Linked DNA regions of Saccharomyces cerevisiae S288C. Changing the gene in region 1 together with any one later gene gives a genetic interaction. Each region holds a gene or a part of one and is shown on either strand. Other genes may lie near its edges. The genes, in order: GIM3, PAC1 and EAF3.

What was found.
Region 2: mutations in GIM3 (region 1) and PAC1 together harm fitness more than expected from each alone (negative genetic interaction), as found in Saccharomyces cerevisiae (6 studies listed by BioGRID, with this or other methods).
Region 3: mutations in GIM3 (region 1) and EAF3 together harm fitness more than expected from each alone (negative genetic interaction), as found in Saccharomyces cerevisiae (5 studies listed by BioGRID, with this or other methods).

Annotation. Positions count from the first base shown.
Region 1 is NC_001146.8:345,169-348,216, reverse strand, and holds GIM3 (tubulin-binding prefolding complex subunit GIM3), read left to right. Parts: upstream 1-2,158; coding exon 2,159-2,548; downstream 2,549-3,048. Other genes in the region: RPC31 (DNA-directed RNA polymerase III subunit C31), read left to right, coding at 1-451; INN1 (Inn1p), read right to left, coding at 675-1,904; serine/threonine protein kinase YCK2, read left to right, coding at 2,941-3,048. UniProt on the Saccharomyces cerevisiae protein: Binds specifically to cytosolic chaperonin (c-CPN) and transfers target proteins to it. Binds to nascent polypeptide chain and promotes folding in an environment in which there are many competing pathways for nonnative proteins.
Region 2 is NC_001147.6:824,671-828,369, reverse strand, and holds PAC1 (Pac1p), read right to left. Parts: upstream 1,986-3,699; coding exon 501-1,985; downstream 1-500. Other genes in the region: VPH1 (H(+)-transporting V0 sector ATPase subunit a), read left to right, coding at 1-318; YOR268C (uncharacterized protein), read left to right, coding at 2,438-2,836; putative serine/threonine protein kinase HRK1, read left to right, coding at 3,503-3,699.
Region 3 is NC_001148.4:608,432-612,189, forward strand, and holds EAF3 (Eaf3p), read right to left. Parts: upstream 1,601-3,758; coding exon 395-1,600; downstream 1-394. Other genes in the region: i-AAA protease YME1, read left to right, coding at 2,050-3,758. UniProt on the Saccharomyces cerevisiae protein: Component of the NuA4 histone acetyltransferase complex which is involved in transcriptional activation of selected genes principally by acetylation of nucleosomal histone H4 and H2A. The NuA4 complex is also involved in DNA repair.

The DNA.
Region 1 (3,048 bases):
TGATGGCATTGAAAGATATTCCGATAAATATTTGAAAAAAAGGAAAATAGGTATTTCTATTGATGATCATCCGTATAATTTGAACCTCTTTCCCAATGAATTGTACAATGTAATGGGGATCAACAAGAAAAAATTATTGGCAATCTCCAAGTTTAATAATGCCGATGATGTTTTTACTGGTACAGGTTTACAAGATGAAAACATCGGACTATCCATGCTGGCAAAGTTAAAGGAGTTGGCAGAAGATGTGGATGATGCGTCGACGGGTGATGGGGCAGCAAAAGGAAGTAAAACAGGCGAAGGAGAAGATGATGATTTGGCGGATGATGATTTCGAAGAAGATGAAGACGAAGAAGATGATGATGATTATAATGCTGAAAAGTATTTCAACAATGGTGACGATGATGATTACGGTGATGAAGAGGATCCAAATGAAGAGGCCGCCTTTTAGTTGAAAATTTATACCGCTTTACCATATTTTTGGATATTCTTCAAAGCAGAATTTGTACAATTAGCATTTTTCTTTATGGTTTAGATCGGCGGTGAGGGCGCAACAGATTTATGTATACATATTGAAATAATAAAATTTAAAAAAGAAAAAATCTTGGTAAACATTAAAAATCTTAATTCTATTTAAATATTAGTATTACAATAACAGCATGTTTCTCTTGTCATTAGCTGAGCCTTGGAGGTGGTCTTTTTCTTGTAGGAGACATCGAATTCTTCCTCGAATTAAAATTGGAATTCGAAGTAGTCGGTAGAGGTGGTAGTTTTGGAGAATTCAGGCCTGATGGATGAGGATGTGAGTTAGGCGAAGAGGAATCTAGGCGTGAGGGTCTATCTCTTCTTACTAACGGCGTATTGCGCGAACTTGAATAATTGGACATATCATCTCTGGTCGGTATAGGAGGTAAGGGCGGTTGGTTATAGTTGTGGGAGACTCTATGGCTGGAAGAATAAAATGCGTCATTTTCGTCGTCATCGTCATCATCTTCGTCGTAAGACAACGAAGTTACACCAATAGCCTTTTGAAGTGCCTCAATATCTACCTTGTTAGATTCATTTTGGCAGTTGTTTGTTGAACTATCAGGATTCTTAAATATATTTATCTTCTCCTTTAATTTCCTTAAATTGGCAAAATGGAATTTTGTATTCGAAGTGTTTGATATAGCAGTATCATTAGTTTCTAATGTAGACGTTGTACCCATGGATGCTGAAAAAGTTGGAGGTAAAATTATTGGGTCATTACTATTTGCCAATACCGCTGTATCTGATTTAGATGACATGGAGAAAACATTGCCATTTCTGTAGGGCTGTCCCTCATCCTTATCCTCGTGACTTGTGCTAACACACTGGGGAGTAATCTGTCTCATCGTAGAACCATGAACATAGTCATACTCTGATTCTGTTGGCAATGGTGGTATCGGCCTCATAGCCATAGATGAATCCAACCTGTCCATTTCTTTGTTAAGATCGTCCCTGTTTAAACGAGGTACTTTGGGAGTGAAAGTCAACTCAATGAATATAGTGCCAGCAAATTCATCCCCACTTCTTTTCAGTTCGTACCAGGTACAATAACCCTCCTTCGGGTCTGCTCTAATAGCATTTAAAAGGTCTATTTCACATCTTCCAATTGGCAGCGGAGATTTTTTCCTTCTATCGCAGTAAACTTCGACGTACATTAAAGGCTTTATCTCTGGAGTAATATCAAATTTTTCTAAATAATGGAAAACAGGGTTTTGACCTGCTCGATGTAGAGTGTTGCTGGCTCTTGTCATATGAGCTATTCGCAACCTAAGCATTACATTTTGCTTGTCCAGTTTATTCAAATTAGGCAAGTCTCTAGCTTTGCTCACATATACGGAGAGGATTCCTTGGTTTCCATTCCATACTTCTTCGGACATTCGACAGTGACTCAACGAGTTAACCCAATTCCAGTTGTGAAACCTAAGGTCTCCGAATTCTCTCGTACTATTAACATACCTTTCTATGTTTTTATCTAAATCATATGAGGAACGCTAGGCCGTCATTCATGATCAGCAGAGGCGGCTTTTCATACAATTTTACAGGAAGCTAAGTACTTAGAGGACTTATGCTCTGTTTGGTCCTGCGGAAACTACCAGAATACACAACGCCAAGAAACTAACAGAGGACCATTATGGAACTGTTACCACAGGGACAAAGGAACAACACTCAGGTAACGTTCGAAGATCAGCAAAAGATCAACGAGTTTTCGAAGTTGATTATGCGTAAGGACGCCATTGCGCAGGAATTGAGTTTACAGAGGGAGGAGAAGGAGTACCTCGATGATGTGTCTCTAGAAATTGAATTGATTGACGAAGATGAGCCCGTGCAATACAAGGTGGGCGACCTCTTTATCTTCATGAAACAGAGCAAAGTTACCGCACAGCTCGAAAAAGACGCAGAACGTCTCGACAACAAAATAGAGACTTTAGAGGACAAGCAAAGAGACATTGATTCCCGTCTTGATGCTCTGAAGGCGATCCTGTATGCTAAATTTGGTGATAATATCAACCTTGAACGTTAGAACACTCATTAAAGTGTGGGCTGTGGGTGTCTCCACAAAATGAGTAATGAAAAATTTTTAATTTTTTCAGGAGGGAAATTAAAGAAAAGTAAAGAACATGATAATAAAAAGCAAGTTTAAGTTATTGTGTATGAGATAGAGTTTTTTTTGTATACCTTTGTAATCCGCATATATTCCTAAGTACCTTTTTTTTCAGACAGAAAAAAAGAGTTTCTTTACGGAAATTACTTCTTTCGTTTGATATTGTTTTTCTCTTTCGAGATTTAAGAACGTGGTTGTGTTTCGTGTTTCTGTGCAGATCATATTAGAAAGTTTTTTTCTCCATTTTGATAGACAAAACTTGTTGTTTCTACTGAACACAGCATATAAGCCAAGAAAATAGTTTTCCAAAAATGTCTCAAGTGCAAAGTCCTTTGACAGCAACGAACTCTGGTTTAGCTGTCAATAATAACACAATGAACTCACAAATGCCTAACCGTAGCAATGTTAGATTGGTCAAT
Region 2 (3,699 bases), on another chromosome or scaffold:
TTATGGGCCTTATCATTGGCACATGCTCAATTGTCTAGTGTTTTATGGACAATGACAATTCAAATTGCCTTTGGATTTAGAGGATTTGTGGGTGTGTTTATGACGGTTGCACTTTTTGCCATGTGGTTCGCACTAACATGTGCAGTTCTTGTTTTGATGGAAGGTACATCTGCCATGCTTCATTCCTTACGTTTGCACTGGGTTGAATCTATGTCCAAGTTTTTCGTGGGTGAAGGTTTACCATACGAACCATTCGCATTTGAGTATAAAGACATGGAAGTCGCTGTTGCTAGTGCAAGCTCTTCCGCTTCAAGCTAAATTTTGAGGACTTTTAAAAAAAGCGAAACATTTAAGTACTTCATTAAATAATAAATGATGCTACTATATAGTGAGTAAACCTTATTATATACTATCAATGCTAATTCAATAAAGTATTTAAAGTATCAACCAATGCTTAAAAAGAGTCAAAAAAAAGGGAAAAAGAAATAGGAAAGCCAAACTTATCTCATGAAAACGTTAGACTTGCAATCCAATCCACCAGTGACCATCATTTGCCTTGGGGTAACGTTAGAATCGAAATCCACATCCAGGTCTAAACAGTTGACAAATCCTGTATGCAACTTTTCCCAAACGTGTAAGCACTGCCCCGTGTTCAGATCCCAACATCTGACAGATTTATCATCAGCACAAGAAAACAAGTATTGGCCTCGAATACTAATATCTCTAACCCACGAAAGATGCCCCTTCAACGTAAGAACACATCTGAAATTTGAATCTGTAGGATTCGGTATGGGTGCTCTATGGGCCATTAACGTAGGTAGAGGTATCTCCCAGATTTTTATCGTTCTATCTCTTGACGCTGAGACACAATATTGCATCCCCCAATTCTTATATCGATCCGTTGATGGTGTTCTAAACCTTATCTCCGGAGAGTCTTCGATGAAATGAATAAATTTAACTTTCTCTATGGGAAATTCATGACCCGTGCCAACACTAAGACCATTACCTGATGGCCAATGTGTTAACCTTAATGTAGTGTCATGTGAACCAGAGATGATGTAATCGCCTAGAACGTCTATGGAACGAACCCATTGGGAATGAGGCTGAAATGTTTTCAACGACCAACCATTGTGGAAGTCCCAAATTTTAACAGTTTGATCTCTGGAACAGGACGCTATATGGACATCATTATTTTTCTGCCAGATTTTTACCGCAGAGACAATATGCTCATGGCCCAATAAAGACCTAATTTGTTGGAACTTGCATTCCTCGGAGACCCACTTGAAAACATGAATCTGCAAATCTTTAGACGCGGTAACGATCACCAAATAGTTCTTCTTGCTGGAGTTCGTATAATTGGTAAATAAAACATCCATGGAGGTAATTGCCTTGGTATGACTTTGCAAGGATGCCAGAGGGATGGTGTAGTTAAATAAATCAAATGCGTATAATTTGCCATGATCTGTGGCCACAAACACTATAGGCAAATTGGGATGTAGTTTGACGGAAGTGACAGATGATTCAACATTAATTAAACAGCTTGGTAGATTTCTCGGTATCCATTTCAAAACATTATGTGCGCTGGTGCCGTTACTGGTGGTAGGTTTGAATTGTGCTAGTTCTGACACTTGAGTGTTCAAATCTTTAATCTGAGATACAAGGGTCTCTGTATTCTGCTCCAATTCAATGATTTTTTTTTGTAGTCTAACAATTGAGTTCCACTTCTTCGGTAGCAGTAATTCATCAATGTCTACCATACTTTCGTTACTGGTGTCATTGTTACTGATGAATTCTTGCCGGTCCACTGATTCTTGCAACAGAAAACCTGATAGAGTTACAATTGCATGTCGAACACTTTCGTAATCTTGAGCATGCTCATGTCGTACAGTTTGTTTGTAATTCCAATTCAAATATCGGAGGACACTTTTATCGAGTTCATTTTTCTGTGTATCTGTTAAAGGAAGCTGTTGCTGCCAGTTAGTCATTTCTATTTTTTTCTACACTTACGCACGCACAGGTGTATACCAACAACCGGACGACGAACCTAGCTGCTTTATCAATGGCTATCTGGGCGACGATGGCCCAATACTAAGATTACCTATTACGTTTACACTCGCCAAAAATAAGAAACAAGTGCAATATGCACGACTTGCAAGCTGAAAATATTTCAAAACACCCACATCCCACAGCACAAAACCAGTGCAAATTCCATAAAGGGAAGTGAATTAAATTCAATGGTAGATGAAAGCACTTTTTCAGGAACCGTTTTAAGATCTAATTGTAGTTTACCAAGATATACTAAAACGTCGTTACTCGTTTTATTTACCTACCATTAGCTAACCGTTGCCATGGCTACCGTCCGGGTCGCCAGCGGCTGCTACTGCAAAAGTTGACAACGAAAAAGAGAAAAAAAAAATTCTCGGCACGCAAGACCTGAATGGTTTTTGTTTTCCCCTTCCCATTTTTTTCTTATGGTTTTTCCAGTTTTCTAGAAGCCGGAAAAAAGGCAAGCTACAAAATGTACTACGCGGAGCCAGAATTAAAAACCACGCGGACGGGACGGGCCGTGGCTTGTGACGCCGGATCCCCGCGTATAATCCGTGTCACGCTAAAGGACAAAATCGGTTTATCCGAGCGGTTTACGGGAAGGGTCTTTTGCTATCTCGCAGTAGCGTGTGCCTGGTTATCCCAATACTACCACCACACCTGTGCTTTTTTTATCTTGTACGTGCATGTATGCGTATGTTTTCTTTTTTTCCGTTGGTGCTTATTCGCTACCGTCTCGTTGATCCATGAATCACAAACACAAGCCGGTTCTGCTTACTATACAAAATAGTCTTGTGTCTTGATTCATATATCCGTCAATAACGTAGCCTTTCTTTATTTTCCTTTCGCTCACCATACTCTTGCATTAGTGTATTTTGTCTTTTATATCGCCAATAAGTGCCCAACTCTTCTACCTGACCCCTACGTCGTCGCCGCCCCTTTTCTTTTTCTTCGCCTAGTTCTATTTGGCTATATATTTCAGAGTGACAAATCTTTAAGAGAGACAAACTGAGAATTAGCATATAGAATCATTCATACAACTGTTTACAAACAAGTAAGCCCAAGACAGTTCCCAACCGCTTAAAGAAGTTTTTCCTAGAGGGAGCAAAGTTCGTTTACATTTCACACACACAGTTTTTTTTCACTTTTTTGGGCCTCTTCCTTTTCCCGTTTTTTTCAAAAAGCTTAGAAATCTTCTTCACCTCCTATTTTTCTAGAATCGTGAAGAATTTCCAGATTTAACAGTTTTCCACTTTTTCAATAAGGAAATAGTAGGAATAATAAAAAAAGGATAGTAGTAACGATATACGTCGACTTTCCAGACTGGTCTCGAGCCGGAATTAAATACAATAGCAGCGTTTGACTACCACATTGTAGCTCCGCTAGAATTGATCGAAAACAAAAATAATAACACTAATAATTATAATAATACGGTAGAACTATTTCTCGTATAAAGATGCCTAATCTATTGTCGAGAAACCCATTCCATGGTCATCATAATGACCATCATCATGACCGTGAAAATTCGTCTAATAACCCGCCACAGTTGATCAGAAGTTCTAAATCTTTCTTAAACTTCATTGGTAGAAAACAAAGTAATGACTCACTAAGAAGCGAGAAATCTACAGATTCCATGAAATCTACCACAACCAC
Region 3 (3,758 bases), on another chromosome or scaffold:
TGATGCTGCTTTAATCATGTTGCATAGACCATGCAATTACACTAAAAATATAAAACAAGGAGCCCTGGACAGAACTTGGTAGTGTGCAAACGAGTAAGTGAAGATGATAGTACATTATATACGAAGCTCTTAGTAAGCTCATACTAGATGCGAAACGATGGATACGTCAGAAAAATAACAAAAATAAAATATAATCATTAATGATGTTTTAACTCGACAAGCCCCTTTCAGAGCTGCCATTACCCTAAGAACCTTGCAAAGAGAATAAACTTGAATTTCGTAAAGTGCCACGAACAGTGTCCATATTCTTACACGAGATATTCTGTGAAGAGTTATTGCATAAATACGGAAGAACTAAATACTAGAAATAATCCCAAGCTAGAATATAAACGTCTCACATACCTAAAGCCACTCCTTCGTATTGGCTAGACGTATTTACATACAGAGCATCGTCACTTCTATTTGGATCCTTGTCATTGAAGTATTCGTCCACATGCATCAACAACCAAACCAAGAAGTCTTCGGTTTGTTTGATTAAAAGCTGACAGCTTTGTAGATCCATTGTAGTAGACGAGATCAGCTCTGGTAAAACACTTATCAACCTTAACAGATGGATAGCCCCATAAATTCTAATTGGTACTAGTGGCTTTTGATCCTTCGATGATTTTTTCAGAAGTTCGTCATATTGCAGCCGTTCCAACCTATATAAAAGCATATTACCCAGGCACTTGTCAAAATACAACTTGAGACCGGCACAGTATTCGCTCAACTGTGACTGGGACCCTGGCGATTCCAATTCTTGACTCACTTCATGTTCGTATTTATTCAGTACCATCTCTACCGTCACATCAGCGGGTAGTCTGCAAATTTTTTTGTCCTTCGTTACGTATTCCCAATCGTCGACTAACACGCTCTTCAATTTTATGGGAATTTGAAGGGAAATCTTGGGGGTTGGATAGCCGGCAATATGATGTAGCATATTTGGCGATAGCGAAGAAGATCTTCTGCGGTCATCATTCCCATTTTGGTCGGATGACGAGCGCAAAGAGCTGCCAGGATGGAGGGAATTAGCGGAACTTCTTCCGCTTTTCCTGCCGCTCACTGAAGATGTTAAAAAACTCTGTGAAGTGCTCTTACTTATACTAGCATTCGAGCGGCTGTCTCCCTTTCTTTTTCCACCATTACTAGGCCCTCCCAGACTAGTGGAGAGCTTCTTTTTTTTCTGCTGTTCCAGTAACGATTTCTTAGCTTCTTTCGCCTCGTTCGCCAGTCTTTTTTTCATGGCAATATTCTCTTCATTGTAGGCCCGTATCCTATCATATCCAACCCACTCATCCCAACTCGACTTCCAGCCTTGGTAATGTATGAAAAAACACTTCCCATTAATGATCTCTTCTGGAATGCTTTCATCTTCTCCCAGCTTTTGTGGCTTTATTTCCTTAGTTGCTTGTGAACTACCACCTGGCTTGTCATTAGGAATGCTGGTATACATTTTCGAAGATGGATCCCATATTTTCAAGATCTTTGCTTCATACATAAGAGGACCATGGAATGCCAGACACCGCCCACCGAGCGCAAATTCCTGCTCCAAATCAACCATTATACGTTCTTCAATAGGGTAAATCCAGTGACGAGGCCTCACAGATGCTAATGCAAAATGCTATATGCTTTTAACGACTGTTTTGCAATATACCCTTTTACGTTTCTGGTCGGGATTTCGGATGCATCTTTATTTTCATCTTTCGTGAAATGCGATATGTGGCGATCGCCGGAGGAACGGCCCCCAATCTTCGCCACCTTTTTCTATCAGCATCGGTTGGTTAGTAATCTCGAATCACATGGTACCTCTTTCTTCGAGGAGTGGTAGCTCCTGTACGCTGTAGCGGTAGTGAAAAGGCAATATATCGGAGTTGGTGAAGTGAGTTAAATCTCTACCTTGCGTTTTTGATAAGTAAAAAGCAAGCACAGCTTAAAGGATAAACAGGATTTTATTGAAGCAATTTTTAATTATAATACATTGTGGATAGAACGAAAACAGAGACGTGATAGATGAACGTTTCAAAAATACTTGTGTCGCCCACGGTCACGACAAATGTTTTACGCATATTTGCTCCCAGGCTACCTCAAATCGGTGCTTCTTTGTTAGTTCAAAAAAAATGGGCCTTAAGATCAAAGAAGTTCTACCGTTTTTATTCTGAAAAGAATAGCGGTGAAATGCCTCCTAAGAAGGAAGCTGATAGCTCTGGAAAGGCATCCAATAAATCCACGATATCTTCAATCGACAATTCGCAACCACCACCTCCATCGAACACTAATGATAAAACCAAACAAGCGAACGTAGCTGTGTCACATGCTATGCTAGCAACTAGAGAACAAGAGGCCAATAAAGACTTAACGAGTCCTGATGCACAAGCAGCCTTTTACAAACTTCTCTTACAATCAAACTACCCGCAATACGTGGTCTCTAGGTTTGAGACCCCCGGTATTGCGTCATCGCCTGAATGCATGGAACTGTACATGGAGGCCCTGCAGAGGATAGGCAGACACTCGGAGGCTGATGCCGTTAGACAAAACCTACTGACAGCCAGCTCTGCTGGCGCAGTTAACCCATCATTGGCGTCATCTTCATCAAACCAGTCAGGTTATCATGGTAACTTTCCATCGATGTATTCTCCGCTTTATGGATCTCGCAAAGAGCCACTACATGTTGTCGTATCTGAATCAACTTTTACTGTTGTATCGAGATGGGTAAAGTGGCTGCTTGTTTTCGGTATCTTAACCTACTCTTTTTCTGAAGGTTTTAAATACATCACAGAAAATACAACGCTACTAAAGTCGTCAGAAGTAGCCGACAAATCAGTTGATGTAGCTAAGACAAATGTTAAATTTGATGATGTCTGCGGTTGTGATGAGGCCCGTGCGGAATTGGAAGAAATTGTTGATTTCCTGAAAGATCCAACTAAGTACGAGTCCTTGGGTGGTAAACTACCAAAGGGTGTACTGTTGACTGGACCTCCTGGTACAGGTAAAACTTTGTTGGCTAGGGCCACTGCCGGAGAGGCTGGTGTAGATTTTTTCTTTATGTCAGGTTCTGAATTTGATGAAGTTTACGTCGGTGTTGGTGCTAAACGTATCCGTGATTTGTTTGCTCAAGCGCGTTCTCGTGCACCAGCTATTATTTTTATTGATGAATTAGATGCCATCGGTGGTAAGCGTAATCCAAAGGACCAAGCTTACGCCAAACAAACGTTGAATCAGTTATTGGTCGAATTAGATGGTTTCTCACAAACAAGTGGAATTATTATTATTGGTGCCACAAATTTCCCTGAGGCTTTAGATAAGGCGTTAACTAGACCAGGTAGATTTGATAAGGTTGTGAATGTGGATTTGCCAGATGTTCGTGGTCGTGCTGATATTTTAAAGCATCACATGAAGAAGATTACATTGGCAGACAATGTGGATCCAACTATTATTGCGCGTGGTACCCCCGGTTTATCAGGCGCTGAGCTGGCAAATTTAGTCAACCAAGCAGCAGTTTACGCGTGTCAAAAAAATGCTGTTTCCGTTGATATGTCCCACTTCGAGTGGGCTAAGGATAAGATATTGATGGGTGCTGAGAGAAAGACTATGGTCTTAACAGATGCAGCCAGAAAGGCCACTGCTTTCCACGAGGCTGGACATGCCATTATGGCCAAATACACCAATGGTGCTACCCCGCTATACAAGGCCACGATATTGCCTAGAGGTAGGGCATTGGG